Arabidopsis thaliana: one gene and its partner. The protein of the gene in region 1 interacts with the protein of each later gene in a pairwise test. Each region holds a gene or a part of one and is shown in the gene's direction. Other genes may lie near its edges.

Region 1 (8,270 bases):
CAGTTGTTTTTGAAGATGAAGAAAGAAGGGTATACGTTTGACGGGTTTGCGAATTGTGCGGTTGTTAGTGCGTTGATTAAAACCGGAAGAGCAGAGGAGGCGTATGAGTGTATGCACGAGCTTGTGAGAAGTGGTACAAGGAGTCAAGACATTGTTTCGTACAATACATTGTTGAATTTGTATTTTAAAGATGGGAACTTGGATGCAGTAGATGATCTATTGGAGGAGATTGAGATGAAGGGGTTGAAACCTGATGACTATACTCATACGATTATAGTCAATGGTTTGTTAAATATAGGCAATACGGGAGGAGCCGAGAAGCATTTGGCATGTATCGGAGAGATGGGGATGCAGCCGAGTGTTGTCACTTGTAACTGTTTGATTGATGGGTTGTGCAAAGCAGGTCATGTAGATCGTGCAATGAGGTTGTTTGCGTCAATGGAAGTTAGAGATGAGTTCACTTACACTTCTGTTGTGCATAATCTATGCAAAGACGGACGGCTTGTTTGTGCTTCGAAGCTGCTCTTGTCGTGTTACAATAAAGGAATGAAGATTCCGTCATCGGCTAGACGAGCAGTGTTGTCCGGCATACGGGAGACGGTATCTTACCAAGCAGCAAGGAAGACACATATCAAAATCAAAGCAGCTATTGAGTGTAATACACTAATGTACCCTTAAGACATTGAAAAGTATCTAATAGAAAAATTATTGAATTGTACATGAGCATAAGGGATGTTTTCATACTAAATTCTAGTCGAGATTTGACAACTCTCTTAACCATTTGAATATTTGTAATATTAGCCAAAGTCTCATCAACCATATCAATGACTCGAGTTATTAAGCAACAAGCTCTTCAATATAGCTAAGTTTTTGATAATTTATCAGTTACTTTGTTTAATTTTAGTCATTTGATTAGAGTTTTGGTCAGAGTCTTTTAAGAATTAAGGGACCAAAGTAACTTCAGACAAAATGACCAAAGACACCACTTTTGAAACCACTGGTCCCAAAAACGAAGCCATGTTACTCATGTGCTGCTTCTGAACACAGTTAAAAAGCTAATCTTTGAACTATGAACCTACTCTCTAGAACTTTTTACTATTTGGGTTTCTTTGTTTTTAACAGAAAACAGTAAAGTTTTTTTTTTTTTTTTGCAGAGGACTAAAAGATAAGACTGAGTCTAGTCTCTCGACGTGGACAAATCTGACAAGAACAGTTACTGCTCTTCGTCCTCTTTGTTGTTATTGTCGTCTCTCTCTCTCGGACTTTGTAAAATGTTACACTGACTTCTCTTAATCTCTCTACGTAAGTACAAAGATCTATTGCATGTTAGAGATGATGTTTTCAGAATTTTTTTAGAGACATGAACACGTGTTTGTTTGTTGATGCAACGAATCAGATTAGAGTAGACACGTTTTCTAGGTTTAAAAACATTCACAGGAATCTTTTTAAGTTAAATTCTTGATAAGAAATAGAGACGAGTTTGTCCAAAAAAAAAAAAAAAGAGAGATAGAGACGTTGGAACTTGGAAGCAAAAGGTTTTTGTTGCTTGTCAAAGAGATTAAGAGAATATAGTTTTGAATTAACCAACAAATAGAGTCTGATTAATATTAAGTGTGTATACTTTACTTAGCATAACAAATGTGAATTGTATTTAGCAATTATAAATACTGAGATCATCCAAAAACCCTAGTGGTGGAAACAAATCGAACCGATAAAACAACTCTAACCCTAAAGGTCGTCACAAAGAAATCTTATATGAAAAGACTCAAAATAAACCAAAAGGTTAATTAAGAGAATAAAAGGAGTCTACATACTAGATACCTTAAAACTAATACTATTGTAGTATTGTTTGATTTTCGCTTGCTATTGTCAAATTCGTGAAAGTTAACATTTTCCCTTTTTGGGTATTAGAGCAACGGCCATTGTTGAGTGGTAAACGAATAAACAAATTTAGTAATTGTAGTCTAATTATAGGTCGTTAATTTGGTTTTGTACACTTTATCACTTGTAGAATTTTGCATGGAGTGTTTTGTTTCTGTTACCGAAAATATTTGATTGATTTTGTGTCCGGAGCTGTTGTCTAATTCGTGAAAGTTAACGTTTTTTGTTTTTGTTTTTGAGAGATCTGACAATTTGTATCAGAAAAAAACAAAAAAGTGCAGATAGTTAAAAAGTAATTTAAATAAATAGAGAAATTTGTTTTAAATCACGGGTTGTGTTTTTTACCTTCATAGCTTCTTCTGGTCCTTCTAATGTGCAAACAAAACTGACTGATGAAATGGAGACAGTCCTTTTTTAATTATAAGCATACAATTGCAATTAATAATTACTCACTTTTCCCAATATTATAAAAAAAAATCTTATGGATATATATATATTCAAGAGGAAAATAAATAGCAATTGTGAGATTTTGCTTTCTTCCAGCACTCATTTGTCTCTTTACGTGTATGTTATTGTCCGGTCCCCACGGTCCAACATTGCTAAATACCTAACCGGTTTGGTCCCATTTGTTTTTCTTCTTGAGTCGAATATTTGGAATTTGGTCTCCATTTAGATGATTGAGTTTTCTTCCTTTTTTTTTTTTTATCGAATACCATATCACATATATACGCTTTGTTTTTGCATTTGCATTATAAAAGTCTTCAAACATTTTTCGGTAAAATGCCAACGCATGATCTCAAACGTAAAAATGAGATTCAACTATGCAAACAATTGCGTTAACATTTCTGTATAGAAGTCTGAGTTTTGCAACGAACAAGAATTACATATGGTTCCTTTTGGGGGTTGCAAAGAGTTGTTTTTAGGTTGAAACTTGAAAAATGTAAAAAGATTAAAGGTTTTTAGAGTAGTGAAAAGGGTAATTAAGTGAAAAAGAAAGAATGGTCCACGATTTCGAGAAAAGAACAAGACCTTAGACTCTCTCTGACCCCTCTCACGTGCCACCAGCACTCCATTGCTCTTCTTCCTTCTCTAATCCTTTTCTCATCTATGAATATATATACATATGCATTTTATATTTATTTATACACTATGAGTTAATCAAAAAACAAATTGTACGTTATGATTTTAGGTAAACGATTACAATTTATACAGCTTGTGTCATTTATTTTTGCCAACTCCTTAAACATATATCAAAGCATGGTAAACGTAGTCTTTTCTTCGAAGTCGATAACTTCATCGGTTAAACCTGGCTGAACTATTAACCTATATCGAGTACATGTGGTTTATGTTTCCATTTTCCAAATTCTTATATAAAATAAAATATATGATCAAAATAGATGACTCGAGAAAAAGAAAAAAAAAAACATATATTGAGAAATCATATGATCTTTGTATCTCTTCTTATCATAATTTAGGTTTGTGATAATAAGTTAGTCAAGTGTACGAATTGCAACTGATAATATGTGGAAACATGAAAATGAATATATATGTGATTATGCATGTTTTTAGCAATAGTCAAGCTTTTACAAGATTTAATAAGAAAAAGTATGGCATTCAGCAAAGTCCATAATTAAGTTTTCTTCAGAAGTACCCTTCCATGATAGTACCGATCACAATCAAATAATGTCTCACATGTACACACACTCAGAGCACCATAGCTTCAACGTTTGTCAAGAAAAAAATTTCCTTTTAATCATTGCCTTTTATTTTTTCGAAAATGTCGTTTTCGCCCGCAAATATTTATAACCTTTATATATTTTTTTCGAAAACAATAAATTAAAGATTTGGAATGTTGCTATATAAATCAATGATACTTAGTAATTCAATAAGGAATAAACTTCGTGAAGAGAAATGACTCTAGAAGCTTTATCATCAAACGGTCTTTTAAACTTTTTGCTCTCTGAAACTCTTTCACCAACTCCATTCAAGTCTCTCGTCGATCTCGAGCCATTGCCGGAAAATGATGTCATCATATCGAAGAACACAATTTCGGAGATATCTAATCAAGAACCGCCACCACAGCGACAACCACCAGCTACGAATCGAGGGAAGAAGCGGCGGAGGAGGAAGCCTAGGGTTTGCAAAAACGAGGAAGAAGCTGAGAATCAACGAATGACTCACATTGCCGTCGAAAGAAATCGAAGAAGACAAATGAATCAACATCTCTCTGTCTTGCGATCTCTCATGCCTCAACCTTTTGCTCACAAGGTTTAACTTTTATGGATATATATTCTTTTTAATGTTTGTAAAGTTTCAAGTAGGGTTTCAATTTTTATGGATAATTTTTTTAAATGGTTTACTATTTCGATTTGGGTTTCAATTAATATTTACAATTCACTGAAAAAGATTAAATTTTCATCTTGAGTTTTATTTTTTATGAAAGATTCATTCTAACGGTTTAAATCTATTTGATTTTCAATATTTATGGCCAATTCTAAAAAATTGATTTTTTATTAAATATATATTTGGGTTTTTATTTGTTTACTTATATGTTGTTTTGGTGGATTTATTTGTTTCCCCATGAAAGGGTGATCAAGCTTCAATAGTTGGTGGAGCCATAGATTTCATCAAAGAACTTGAACACAAATTACTATCTCTTGAAGCTCAAAAACATCATAATGCTAAATTAAACCAGTCGGTTACTTCTTCAACAAGTCAAGACTCAAATGGTGAACAAGAGAATCCTCATCAACCATCTTCACTATCTCTATCGCAGTTCTTTCTTCATTCATACGATCCGAGCCAAGAGAATAGGAACGGCTCAACAAGCTCGGTGAAAACCCCTATGGAAGATCTTGAGGTGACTCTAATCGAAACTCATGCTAACATCAGAATCTTGTCGAGAAGAAGAGGTTTCCGGTGGAGCACGTTGGCCACCACCAAACCGCCGCAGCTTTCGAAGCTGGTGGCTTCTCTACAATCGCTGTCCCTCTCCATTCTTCACCTTAGTGTCACAACATTGGACAATTATGCTATTTACTCCATCAGCGCTAAGGTAATAAAATTAAAACCCTATCATCTGAACCGGACTAAACCGGATTAGTTTCAATGCAATTTGTGCGGTATTTAGATCAAACAGATTACAAGATAGGACATTTATGCTATTTACTCTATCAGTAACTGATGAAAAAAAAAAAAAAACTCTATCAGTAACTAGGGTGATACAAACCGGAGCTAAACCGGATTTGTTCAAATGCGACTTGAGGGGTATTTTGGGAATATATGTTAGGAATTTAAAGCTAGACGGTCGATTATGTGCGGTCCAAGGGACAGAGCATATAAAAGGAATGTCTATGAGCTCTTAACTAGATTTGGTCCAACATTTATTACCATACTTGGTGGAGTCATTTTTCTTATTTTTCACCCATTTCTTGAAAACAGGTTCAATTATTGCCACGTGGGTTATAAAAATTGTAACAATTTGAAGCTTTTTTCAAATTCACATTATGCTATTTTTGTAAAATCATTTTCTTATTGGATGTTGAAAGGTGGAAGAGAGTTGCCAGCTAAGTTCAGTAGATGACATTGCAGGAGCAGTTCACCACATGCTAAGTATCATTGAAGAGGAGCCTTTTTGTTGCTCATCAATGTCAGAATTACCATTTGACTTCTCTTTGAATCACTCAAATGTCACTCATTCTCTCTGAGAAATCTCTTTTTTGTTGTTGTTATTCCTTCTTTTAATTTTATCACATAGCACATCTTTAGTTTTTTTTTTTCAGAATGAAGAAACACATAAGCTTTCTTTTAAAATCCTAGGTTCTTTTTCTGACTTTGTAAAGGCTAAATGTGAATTTATAATGGCACATAACATATTAGTTGTTTTACTCTTAATTTTATGCATTTTCTGATAGTAATTAAGTTATAAATTAGTACACTTGTGAGTGTTTGAATTGTTTTATATATATAACTGGATTCTTATATATACAAATCATCAAAAAATTTAGCTAGGCTCTCGATCTTGGATATTAGTTAGTAGAGAGTATATACTAAAAATCTTTTTAAGTGTGTTTATAAAATTTCAAGGGCTAAACAGATGATATTTTATGGAGATAGTTGTCAATTTAAGAGGCTAAGTTGTAACATGCAAATGGAAAAATCTAAAGAAATCAATTACGTGTTAATGTGTAATCGTATTAAAATCTTTTTGTGATAAATTAATTTGGATATTCTGTTACAGAAGATTTTAAGACATCCGCCATCATTGCGAGTGAGATTGTTGTGTTCGGTTGCTTATGTTGTTATATTACCATCAACATCCACGACACTATTTTATGGACCTTTCTCCAGTGGCCCATATTAATAGTTTTAGATATGGGCTTTATTTGATATATCCGTCTAGCTTTAGGCCACCAAGGCTGGCAACAGAGGCGAGAGTACTTCACTTTAGTATTCGGACAAGGTTTATATTTCTCCAAAATTGTTTGCTATCTTTCGACTTAATTTGCACTCATACTCGATAGGATGATAAATGCTCATCATTTTGGTACAATACACAATTTTTTTGGTACCCGCTGCTTTTTTTTCGTTCAATGCTTATCATATTCGACTTTACTCGTAACCGACGATCTTTGTACCCATAAAGAAGTGGAAATCTTGACTTTTCTTCACGAAATAAAGATTCTCTTCATTATCTCCTTTGGACTCCATGCGAATTTGGTCAACATGTTCACATTTTCCACATAACTGGTTCGTTCTAAGAAGGGTATTGTTGTTTATTATAAAGGGAATAGAAACAAATTTATTTTGTTTTTAGATTGTTAGCATATATACAATTAATGTCTGTATATAAAAAGAAATTAGGATATGTATTTGATTTTTGTTTTCTGTTCTATTAATATGTACCTTTATGTGAAAAATACTTGCATTTGTTGAGAGAACACGAAAAGATATACATAGACCCGCGTAATCTCTCCCGTTTAACTAAGATTGTTTAGGGCTGGGCACAAGGCAAGTACTTGCCGATTTGGAGGTACTTGTGACTTGACTTGCCTTGTCAAAGTAATTGGATTTTTGGCTTGTTATTTGCCTTGTTAAAACGAGTACTTGGTCTACCAAGTATTTGTCTAAATTTTAATTACTTGCAAGTTACTTGACCCACCTTGTTACTTGTCAAAATTAAATACTTTTACTTGAACCTAAAATATTTGGAATAAAAAACCCTATTTCATACATAATATTTAAGGTCAATGAGTTTTGTTATAATAAATTTTAAAATTTTAGCTTTTATAGACCAAACCAAAATTATAAATTTGTTATAATAATTTAAGCATTAGTATGTTAGTAACAAATATACAATGTTCAACAATTAACAAGGTAAGTAATAGAAAAAAAAAAAATCCAGACCTAATTATTAGTTATCCCACAAGTCACATGTACAAATAACGAGTAACAGAGCAAGTAAAAGGACAAGCATCAAAATGATGCAAGTAACGAGGCAAGTAACGGGATAAGTATCAAAACGAGGTAAGTAACGAGTCAAGTATCAAAAAAAATTATGATACTTGATACTTGGCTTGCTCTTGCAAGTAATAAAATAAACCGACTTGTTACTTGACTTGCCTATGACAAGTACTTGAATTTTCAAGACGAGTACGAACCGAGTAGCGAGTAATTGCCGAGTAGCGAGTACTTGTGCCCAGGGCTAAGATTGTTTGTAATAATGAGGATTACTAAATATGGTCCTTCGAGATGGGACAAAATATTTGCATCGGCTCTTCCACACTAGAGATGCATCACAACTGCATATAGAATCTTCTAACACAATGGAGTTCACAAATTGTTGTGGAAGTTAATGTCTCCCAAGTTCAATGAATCTGTTTGTTTGTCTTAATTCAGGAGATAACTTGAGCAAAGAGAGACCTCCATGTGGTATTATCCACTGCACATAAATAAAAAGGAATTTCAAAATAAGGTTTGTAAGGATTTTTTTTTAGAAAAAAAAACAGATTATGCGGTAAATAGACAATTTCTGGTTTACCATTTTACCTTATGAATACATTCTAGAGAAGATGCGCCACTGATACCAATAAATGGATTTTATCATTGTGAAATTGGATTTGGGTATCGCTTATTGGTGCCTTTTCTAGTCTAGTATCTCGACCGGTGAAGACTTATTCTCTCACGTCTCAGTGTCCTAGAAGAAAAGATGCAAGTAATAAAGAGTTTGTGTAGTTATAAGGTTTCCGAGTTCGGATGACATTTTTTGAATCAAAATCTCGTGTATGTGATTGAGTATTAAAAATAGACATGTAAGTTCACGTAGAAGTTCTCGTGTATAACCAAGTTCGGAAAAGTAGACTTATGTGAGTTCATGTAGAAGTTCCAAT
Region 2 (8,011 bases), on another chromosome or scaffold:
AAGCAAACATTTTTTTGTTAATCTTTTGTTTCAATGAAGAAGCCTTAAGAAAACCTATGTTGTTGTGCACAGATCACTTTAGCCCAATTGTGAATTTAGCTACTCAAAACATGAAGCAGATAGTTGTGGAGCCACCATCATCTAGAAGTATGGATGATTCGTCTTCATCTTCGAGTATGAATAATGGTAAAGGAACTAATAAGCATTCTCATGAAGATGATGAGCTTTCTCCTCCAGCTCTTCGCTCTGTTTCATCTTCCGGTGTATCTCCTGATTCTCGAGACGCTAAGAACTCATCTTCCTGGTGTTTGGCTGAGTACAAAGTGTATAAGAGCGAGGGACTCGCAGATGCTTCTACTCAAACCGATGAAACTGTGAGTGGTCGTTCTAAAACACCTATAGAGACTTTTAGTAGAGGTGTATCAACTGATGAAGATGTGTCATCAGAGCCTGAAACCAGCGAGAATAACCTCGTGAGTGAGGCTTCGTGTGCGGGGAAGGAGAGGGAGAGTGCGGAAATATCAAGAAACTCTGTCTCGCCGCCTTTTTCCAATAGTGCTTCTTCGCTAGGAGGAAAGACTGATACTTTGGAGTCTCTAATAAGAGCTGATGTTAGTAAGATGAATAGTTTTAGGATTCTTGAACAAGAAGATGTTCGAATGCCCGCTATTCCGAGGCTTAGGGCCTCGAATATGCTGATGCAGTTGATATCTTGTGGTTCAATATCAGTCAAGGATAACAATTTCGGCCTTGTACCTACTTACAAACCGAAATTTGGACACTCGAAGTTTCCGTCTCCTTTTTTCTCCTCGTCGTTTATGATGGGAGATCTTGACCGTTTGTCGGAAACTCCGAGTCTAATGGGCCTGAGGATGGAGGAGAAAGAGTATTTTAGTGGGAGCTTAGTGGAGACTAAGCTACAGAAGAAGGATGCAGCGGATAGTAACGCTTCTCTTAAGCGTTCTTCATCCTACAATGGTGACAGGTACATTTCTGAAAAACACTCCTGCTAGTGATTGTTGGATGTTGTGTTATGTTTTGATGTTAAGACAGTTCTTGTGTTCTTGTGCCAAAATCACAGCTTAAAAAAAAAGTCTCTGCCTTTAGTTTCCCACTAAAATTACAACAAGCTATCTTTGGTTTGTTAGGGTCATAATATGTGATTGGAAAGGTTCTTGATTTGAGTAGTATACTTAGTCTCTGTGAATTCTTGAGGACACATCTCATGTGAGTTTTTTCAGGGCATCCAACCAAATGGGTGTAGCAGAGAATGGAGACTCAAAACCGGATAGTTCTAAAAATAATCCAAGCTCAAGAAAGGCGTCTTCTATTCTAGGGAAGCAACAACCACTTGTCTCCGAAAAGAGAAGAGACTCATCAGAAGATACTACCAAGAACATTCCATGTACCACTAAAACACATGATGCTTGCAGTAAAAGAATAACCGAGTCTTTAAGGAAGCCCGATTCATTCAGAGAAGACGAGGAGAGAGTTATCAAGATCGACGAAAGGTGAAACATAAACATCTTGAATCTTGTTCAATATATTGATATGAACATATCTTATCTTGATTCATATCAGGTTTATTAAATCTTGTATGTATCTTGAACAGGCTTGCTTCAGGAGCACGAGTTAGAATCGAATCGAAAGTGCCTTCAGAAGAGCCTTAACCAAGTTTAGGAGGCGTGTTTTTTGAAAAATTTGAAATCTAAAAAGACCCTTTTGCTGGTTTGTATTGTGGCGGCAACTTTCTCCATTTTGATTGTAAATCTAGAAAGGTGGAATGAGAAAAAGAGAAATGGCAAAAAAGTTTCATAAAAAGGATAGAAAGATTTCAGAGAGAGCACTAAATGTTGGTATTGGGCAGAGAAAAGGTGTAAGTAAATTGAGAAAAAAAAGTTTGGTAACAAAAGGTATTAATGTTTTGATGTGATGTGAGATGAGAAGAAGATGGATGGACCACTGTTACTGATTGGTGTGGTCATTGTTTACTGATTGGTGTGGTCATTGGTAGGTTTGGTTTTATTAGTGAATCCATGCCATTTCGGTTTTCAAAATTGTAACCGATAGTTACGGTTATCTGAAAATCTGACACAATACTTTATTGATGTTCATGAGTCATGACTTATCCGCTGTTGTGTTTCTAAAGATGTGCTGATAAGTCACATAAAAATTGAATTTGTTCCATGTCTGTATAGAGAAGAAAAGGAGTTTTCATATTTTCCCCATTTTTGTTGGGGTGAACAAATTAAAAGTTATCTGCTAGTTGACATGCATAAAGGTTAGAGGAAAAAGAAAAGGAAAAAAGAAAAAAGTTTGTCAAAATATTTTGCTTCATAAGTTTGTGACTTATTCAGAGTTATGTTTCTAAAGATGTGATAGGTACAGCAAAATTGTATTTGTTCCAAATGTCAATTAGTGAAGAAAAGAAAAAGAGTTGTCATATTTGTTGGAGTACTGAAAGATAATCATGTGGCAAAAAAAAAACGAAATAGGAAGAATTTCAGTAAAAATTATGCTAGCTTCACATGTATCAAATATATTTGAACCAAAGTATGCCATATTCATGAATTGTTTTTACAACAATTTTTATTTGTTTTAAACTCTAGAGGCTATATGTGAAAAAAAATTTTACAGCAAAAATAAGATTATATCAGAAACATTACAGACCGAAATTTACAGCCACGATCTAACCAAACATCTACTAAATTGACATAATAGCATTATTCAAATATTTATTTGGAAATTGGTTGATGTTTTTGAAAGTTGTGGAGTATCCCAAAAATCCAATGTTGCTCAAAAGTTCAGTTTCTCTAATAAATTCAACACCTAGATGGAATCTATAATTGGTTGACTTTTTTTTTTTTTTTTTTTTTACAGTTATATACCTGAAAAAATATTCCAACTTGAAATATTATAAAGAGTTGATTTTTGTCCTAACCGGCCAAGACTTTAATATTTTATACTGTCTTTCTTTGCTATCCTTTGTTTGTTTGTTGAGACAAGAACGAAAACCGTGCATTGAACAGGCTTCTTCATAATTTAATTGCGGTTTATCCTTAAATGATTTGAAAAATGGAAATGCATTTATCAAAAATAAAAGAAAATAATTGAAATGCTATTATATTCCAGAGTTGGTTTGTTATTTGAAAATTATGCTGGTTTAAGTTTATATTTGAAATTAATTTTGGCCGTTTTTCTACAAAACATATTTATCATATTGGAGTACTTTTTAAATACACTAACATAAAAATGTTGAGAAAAACTTTTGTTAAAATTCTAGCTTGTGACAACTAAACCAGTTGACATCTACAGTTGTAATAAGCCGATTGCAAATTAATTCCTAACATTTTAATAAACAAGAATATATGTGGATCTAAATTCAAAAATATAAACAGTACACTAACATTTGTACGTCTAATATCGTAGTAAACTTTTACTTATGAACACCTTTTTAATACGGTCTGATCGATTTATTTATTTATATAACCAAAACTCATATATATTCATAAACTAAATTATATAGTAACAGGATATATTATGAGCTTAATATACATGCTATATGCCTATATAAGGTCTTAATAACCAAAACTCATAATAATGTATTCATAAACTAAATTATATAGTAATATTTTTGGTATATTTTATAACTTTAAAAAACTCTAAATATTTGTGGTATTTTTGAAAATGGATAAAAATGATATTTTTGGAAAGTAGTATAATTTTAAAAAACTTCTCCCAATAAAGACATGACCAAAAATGTGTGTTATTTCTATATATATTTTTTTTTTTTTTTGATCAACATATACTCTTGTTTCTAATCTGCATTCCCTCCACCACAAAAAAAAATTCAAATGATAAAATATAAAGAAGAACAATGTGGAAATATAATTGTCATGCAACACGACAAATTAATCATTCGAGTAACATAATTTATACATATAATATACAGGTCATGCATGACATTACAAGACGTAACTGAATAAACTAATATCAACCAACTATCAAGAGTACATTTCTTTAAATTTGTTTTAATTGATTTCTTAACTTATTATGTTAATTAATACAGTTTATTTCATACTCACTCTATTATATAAACTCATTTTGTCTCTCTTTCGTTGTCAACAACTTTTCTTCATTGACAAAAACACACAAATGGAAGGAAGAGTCAACGCTCTGTCAAACATAAACGATCTCGAACTTCACAATTTCTTGGTCGATCCAAACTTCGATCAGTTCATAAACCTCATAAGAGGAGATCATCAAACCATTGACGAAAACCCAGTTCTTGATTTCGATCTTGGTCCATTACAAAACAGCCCCTGTTTCATAGACGAGAACCAGTTCATCCCAACACCTGTCGATGACCTCTTCGACGAATTGCCTGACTTAGACTCCAACGTTGCTGAATCATTCCGTAGCTTCGACGGTGATAGTGTTAGAGCCGGTGGTGAAGAAGATGAAGAAGATTACAACGACGGTGATGATTCTTCAGCCACTACTACGAATAATGATGGGACCCGTAAGACGAAGACTGATCGGTCTAGGACTTTGATCTCTGAGAGAAGAAGGAGAGGGCGTATGAAGGATAAGCTTTATGCATTGAGATCTCTTGTTCCCAATATTACTAAGGTAAGTCACAACATTTTCAAGATTTGGTAATGACTAATGAAACTGTAAATATTGATGAAGTATGTGTGTGTTGGCATTTAGATGGATAAAGCATCCATTGTTGGAGATGCAGTGTTGTATGTTCAAGAACTTCAGTCACAAGCGAAGAAACTCAAATCCGATATCGCGGGTCTTGAAGCTTCTTTAAACTCTACTGGAGGGTACCAAGAACATGCTCCTGATGCTCAAAAGACTCAACCTTTTCGCGGTATCAATCCTCCTGCTTCCAAAAAAATCATTCAGGTAATAACCTAAAAAAACCAATCAATCTTCTTGAAACATCAAAGTGTTTAAAGTTTGTATGTTTTGTTGTGTTAGATGGATGTTATACAAGTGGAGGAGAAAGGGTTTTATGTGAGATTGGTGTGTAACAAAGGAGAAGGTGTTGCTCCATCTCTTTACAAGTCTTTGGAGTCTCTTACAAGTTTCCAAGTGCAGAACTCTAACCTAAGCTCTCCTTCTCCGGACACATACCTCTTAACATATACCTTAGATGTAAATCAACTTGTGCCCTTTTACTTTGTTTTGTTTCCGAGTATACCGTTTACTTACCGAGTTTTCTTGTGTGGTGGAAACAGGGGACATGCTTCGAACAGAGCTTAAACTTGCCTAACCTGAAGCTGTGGATCACTGGATCACTTTTAAATCAAGGTTTTGAATTCATCAAGTCATTTACTTGATTCTATAACGCTTGCTCTAACGTGAGTCAAATCCGGTTCTGCACTATATTGATTGTGTACCTTTCTTACATGTTTCATAACTTCCAGGGCTCTAATTTCTATTCTAGTGATGATGTAACCGAGATTGTTGATTCTCTATTGAATAAACACCATGTTATATAGTAATTTAGCGACAAATTGTATGGTTAAATGAAGTAATATTTATGTTTTGTTTATAGTCTCAAGTCTTAAGTTTCTTTTGCTTTGATATATCACGTTTTGGTTCATTGGCTGTATTATTGCTTTGTTGTTGCAAGACCATTCACATCTTGATTCTATGTATTGTTCTCTGTTTGATTGGTAAAAGAATAAAGAATTTTAACCCCGAGAAAGCAGTACAGACGACCTATATGGATCGCCGACTCAACTCTAGGAACCTAATTTGTGCTTTGGATATTCATAACATGGTAAAACAAAAAGATTCTAATATTGTTGCTGTTGCAAGACCAAGACAGATGCCCTTGAAGGAAACTCCTTTGACGCTATAACATCTCCGAGGGCTCCAAGTTCCTCGAACTCTGTCCATTCATTTAATCCTTTTGTAACTGCGCTATTCATTCCGCTACTTCTTCCAACTATAAACAAATCATAATCATACGCTATTGATCTAAGTATCACTGAAGTCTCAGCCCCTTCTTTGACGCTTTTTTCTATACATATCCATGAATCATTTTCATTTGAATCCTCAGTCTTCATTATCTCTTTTATGTCATCGTAATCCAACTTCTGCACCGAGTCTTCGCTTTCCTCGGTAGTAAGTTGAGGTATGAGGTGTAAGATGGTTACGCTTGTCTGCTTGTTTCTCCTCATACGGTTGGTGAATGCTAAGGCTTCTTTATCGTCTTTCCCTCCCACAACTATTGCACACACCTGAAATACAAACCACGAGACCAGTTTAGAACTTGTTAAGATCACACATCGGAAGAAATGTGTAGGTACCAACACTAGTATAGAAAAAACATGGGCCAAATATACTAATCGTCGGTTTGTTTTGAGTTGGAAGCCAGACGACCCCAAAAATTAACCATGAGATCTCTTAATTACAAAAGAAAAAAAACAAGTACCTTGTAACATGAGCCGTGCATTTGAGATTCCCATAAAGGTTTCCGGTAGACGAAGATTCCAACAGAGCAAGACGCTCTTTTCAAGACTTTGTGGTTGAGATTCTGCATGGCCTTGTCGTCAGAGACAATGGTTGAGCGGTCAACAGACCAAGAACGGTGAAAAGGAAGTACAACGAGAGCTACATTCTTGTCAAGGGCAAGCCAACAGAGGTCCTCGTGCATGTGCTCTACCAAGCTAGCAGATGTAAAGATGTCAATGGAAATTGCCTCTTTGGTTAAATGTCTACGAAGGCTTAAGAATGCAGTTATGACATTGCGGGAGCAAGAGCGTGTTCCAACCTTCGGCTTTTGCATCTTGTGGGAAATGAAGGTAGGAATGGCCTGACCTATGAGCTCCACAAGGTGAAGAACATTGCATTCTAATTTTGATTCTTGTGTTGGGTTAAAAAGTTCCACAAAGTTGACCATGGATGTTATGTGGTCAGGCTTGTGAATACACACAAGGGTCTTCAGCTTAGAGTCATGTTTCAAGGTTAACATGTTCCTATCTCGGTAACTACTAAAGATATGTTGTGGTTCGTACATGAATTCTATCGCGATCGGTGTCAATAGCGAGCTGACAAGTACTGATAGAGCCGCGATCGTGAAGCTCTTGTTGTCGAACATCTGTTTTAAAAATAAGAATGGATTGTTGTTAATATGTAGTGAGATGGATCAATAAGTTTGTTATTGTTTTGAACCTCAATATTTTATTTTTATGTGTTTGCCATTACATGTTAAAAAAAAAAAGATCCAAAATTATTTTACTACGTTTGAAATTTAAGAGTTAACAATTTAACATGTTAAATTTAACAAATAAGTGTTAATGCTTAAGGTATTGGTTTTATACTAAGTGATTGGTCCAAAAACAGGAAATCATAATTTTGAAAAATGAATCATGAATCTATATGGTTTAATAGATTCATTTACCTATTGCATGTATATCTGCAAAATGAATCCGAATGCAAAACAAACAAAAAAAGGAAGGAGAGAAAAACGATCAAAACCGAAATTTCTTTGAAAATTAAAGAAATATGTGACTAAAACTCGAATGCGAACCTAAATCATACCAAATCATCTATAACAGATCATGCTGTACTTTGCATATTATGGTTCATTAACGGAAAATCTGAAACTAAGACCGAGCTAAAATCGTGTTGAACACCCCTAAATTTGTAGCATGTAAAAAAAAAATGGAAGGATTGAAACATAATTGAGTTCTTACTTTAAGTTCGACAATGTAGCCGAGGTAGCCGAGCTCAAAGATACTTCTATTTGACAAAACCATGGCTAAAACAATGGAGTCTCGGTATGGAATTCTCACAGCAAAAGCAGTTATTGCTGTGACGACAAATTTAACCACGGTGACGATCAAGATAACCGAAATAGCTTCATAAGCGAAGCCCTCCATGTGTTTAAGGTTCAGTATCTCTCGCATCAACCACGATATATCTAGTTGTTCCATGCTAAGAGATCCAAAGAGCGGCAACAAAACACCAACGTTAAAACATTCAAATC

The links.
Region 2: the proteins of bHLH071 (region 1) and FRU interact in binary tests that used the Arabidopsis thaliana proteins (3 or more experiments, as listed by UniProt).

What each region holds. Positions count from the first base shown.
Region 1 is NC_003076.8:18,941,847-18,950,116, forward strand, and holds bHLH071 (beta HLH protein 71), read left to right. Parts: upstream 1-3,696; 5' UTR 3,697-3,792; coding exon 3,793-4,149; intron 4,150-4,468; coding exon 4,469-4,936; coding exon of another isoform or gene 4,937-4,984; exon of another isoform or gene 4,985-5,429; coding exon 5,430-5,588; 3' UTR 5,589-5,791; downstream 5,792-8,270. Other genes in the region: AT5G46680 (Pentatricopeptide repeat (PPR-like) superfamily protein), read left to right, coding at 1-678. UniProt on the Arabidopsis thaliana protein: Transcription factor. May be involved in the differentiation of stomatal guard cells.
Region 2 is NC_003071.7:12,000,558-12,008,568, forward strand, and holds FRU (FER-like regulator of iron uptake), read left to right. Parts: upstream 1-4,100; 5' UTR 4,101-4,155; coding exon 4,156-4,632; intron 4,633-4,713; coding exon 4,714-4,914; intron 4,915-4,989; coding exon 4,990-5,166; intron 5,167-5,249; coding exon 5,250-5,351; 3' UTR 5,352-5,438; coding exon of another isoform or gene 5,439-5,446; 3' UTR 5,447-5,719; downstream 5,720-8,011. Other genes in the region: AT2G28150 (UPSTREAM OF FLC protein (DUF966)), read left to right, coding at 73-985, 1,242-1,511, 1,613-1,670; ATCHX7 (Cation/hydrogen exchanger family protein), read right to left, coding at 5,814-6,260, 6,455-7,120, 7,719-8,011. UniProt on the Arabidopsis thaliana protein: Transcription factor. Essential protein involved in iron uptake responses. Regulates FRO2 at the level of mRNA accumulation and IRT1 at the level of protein accumulation. Confers enhanced iron mobilization responses at low iron supply.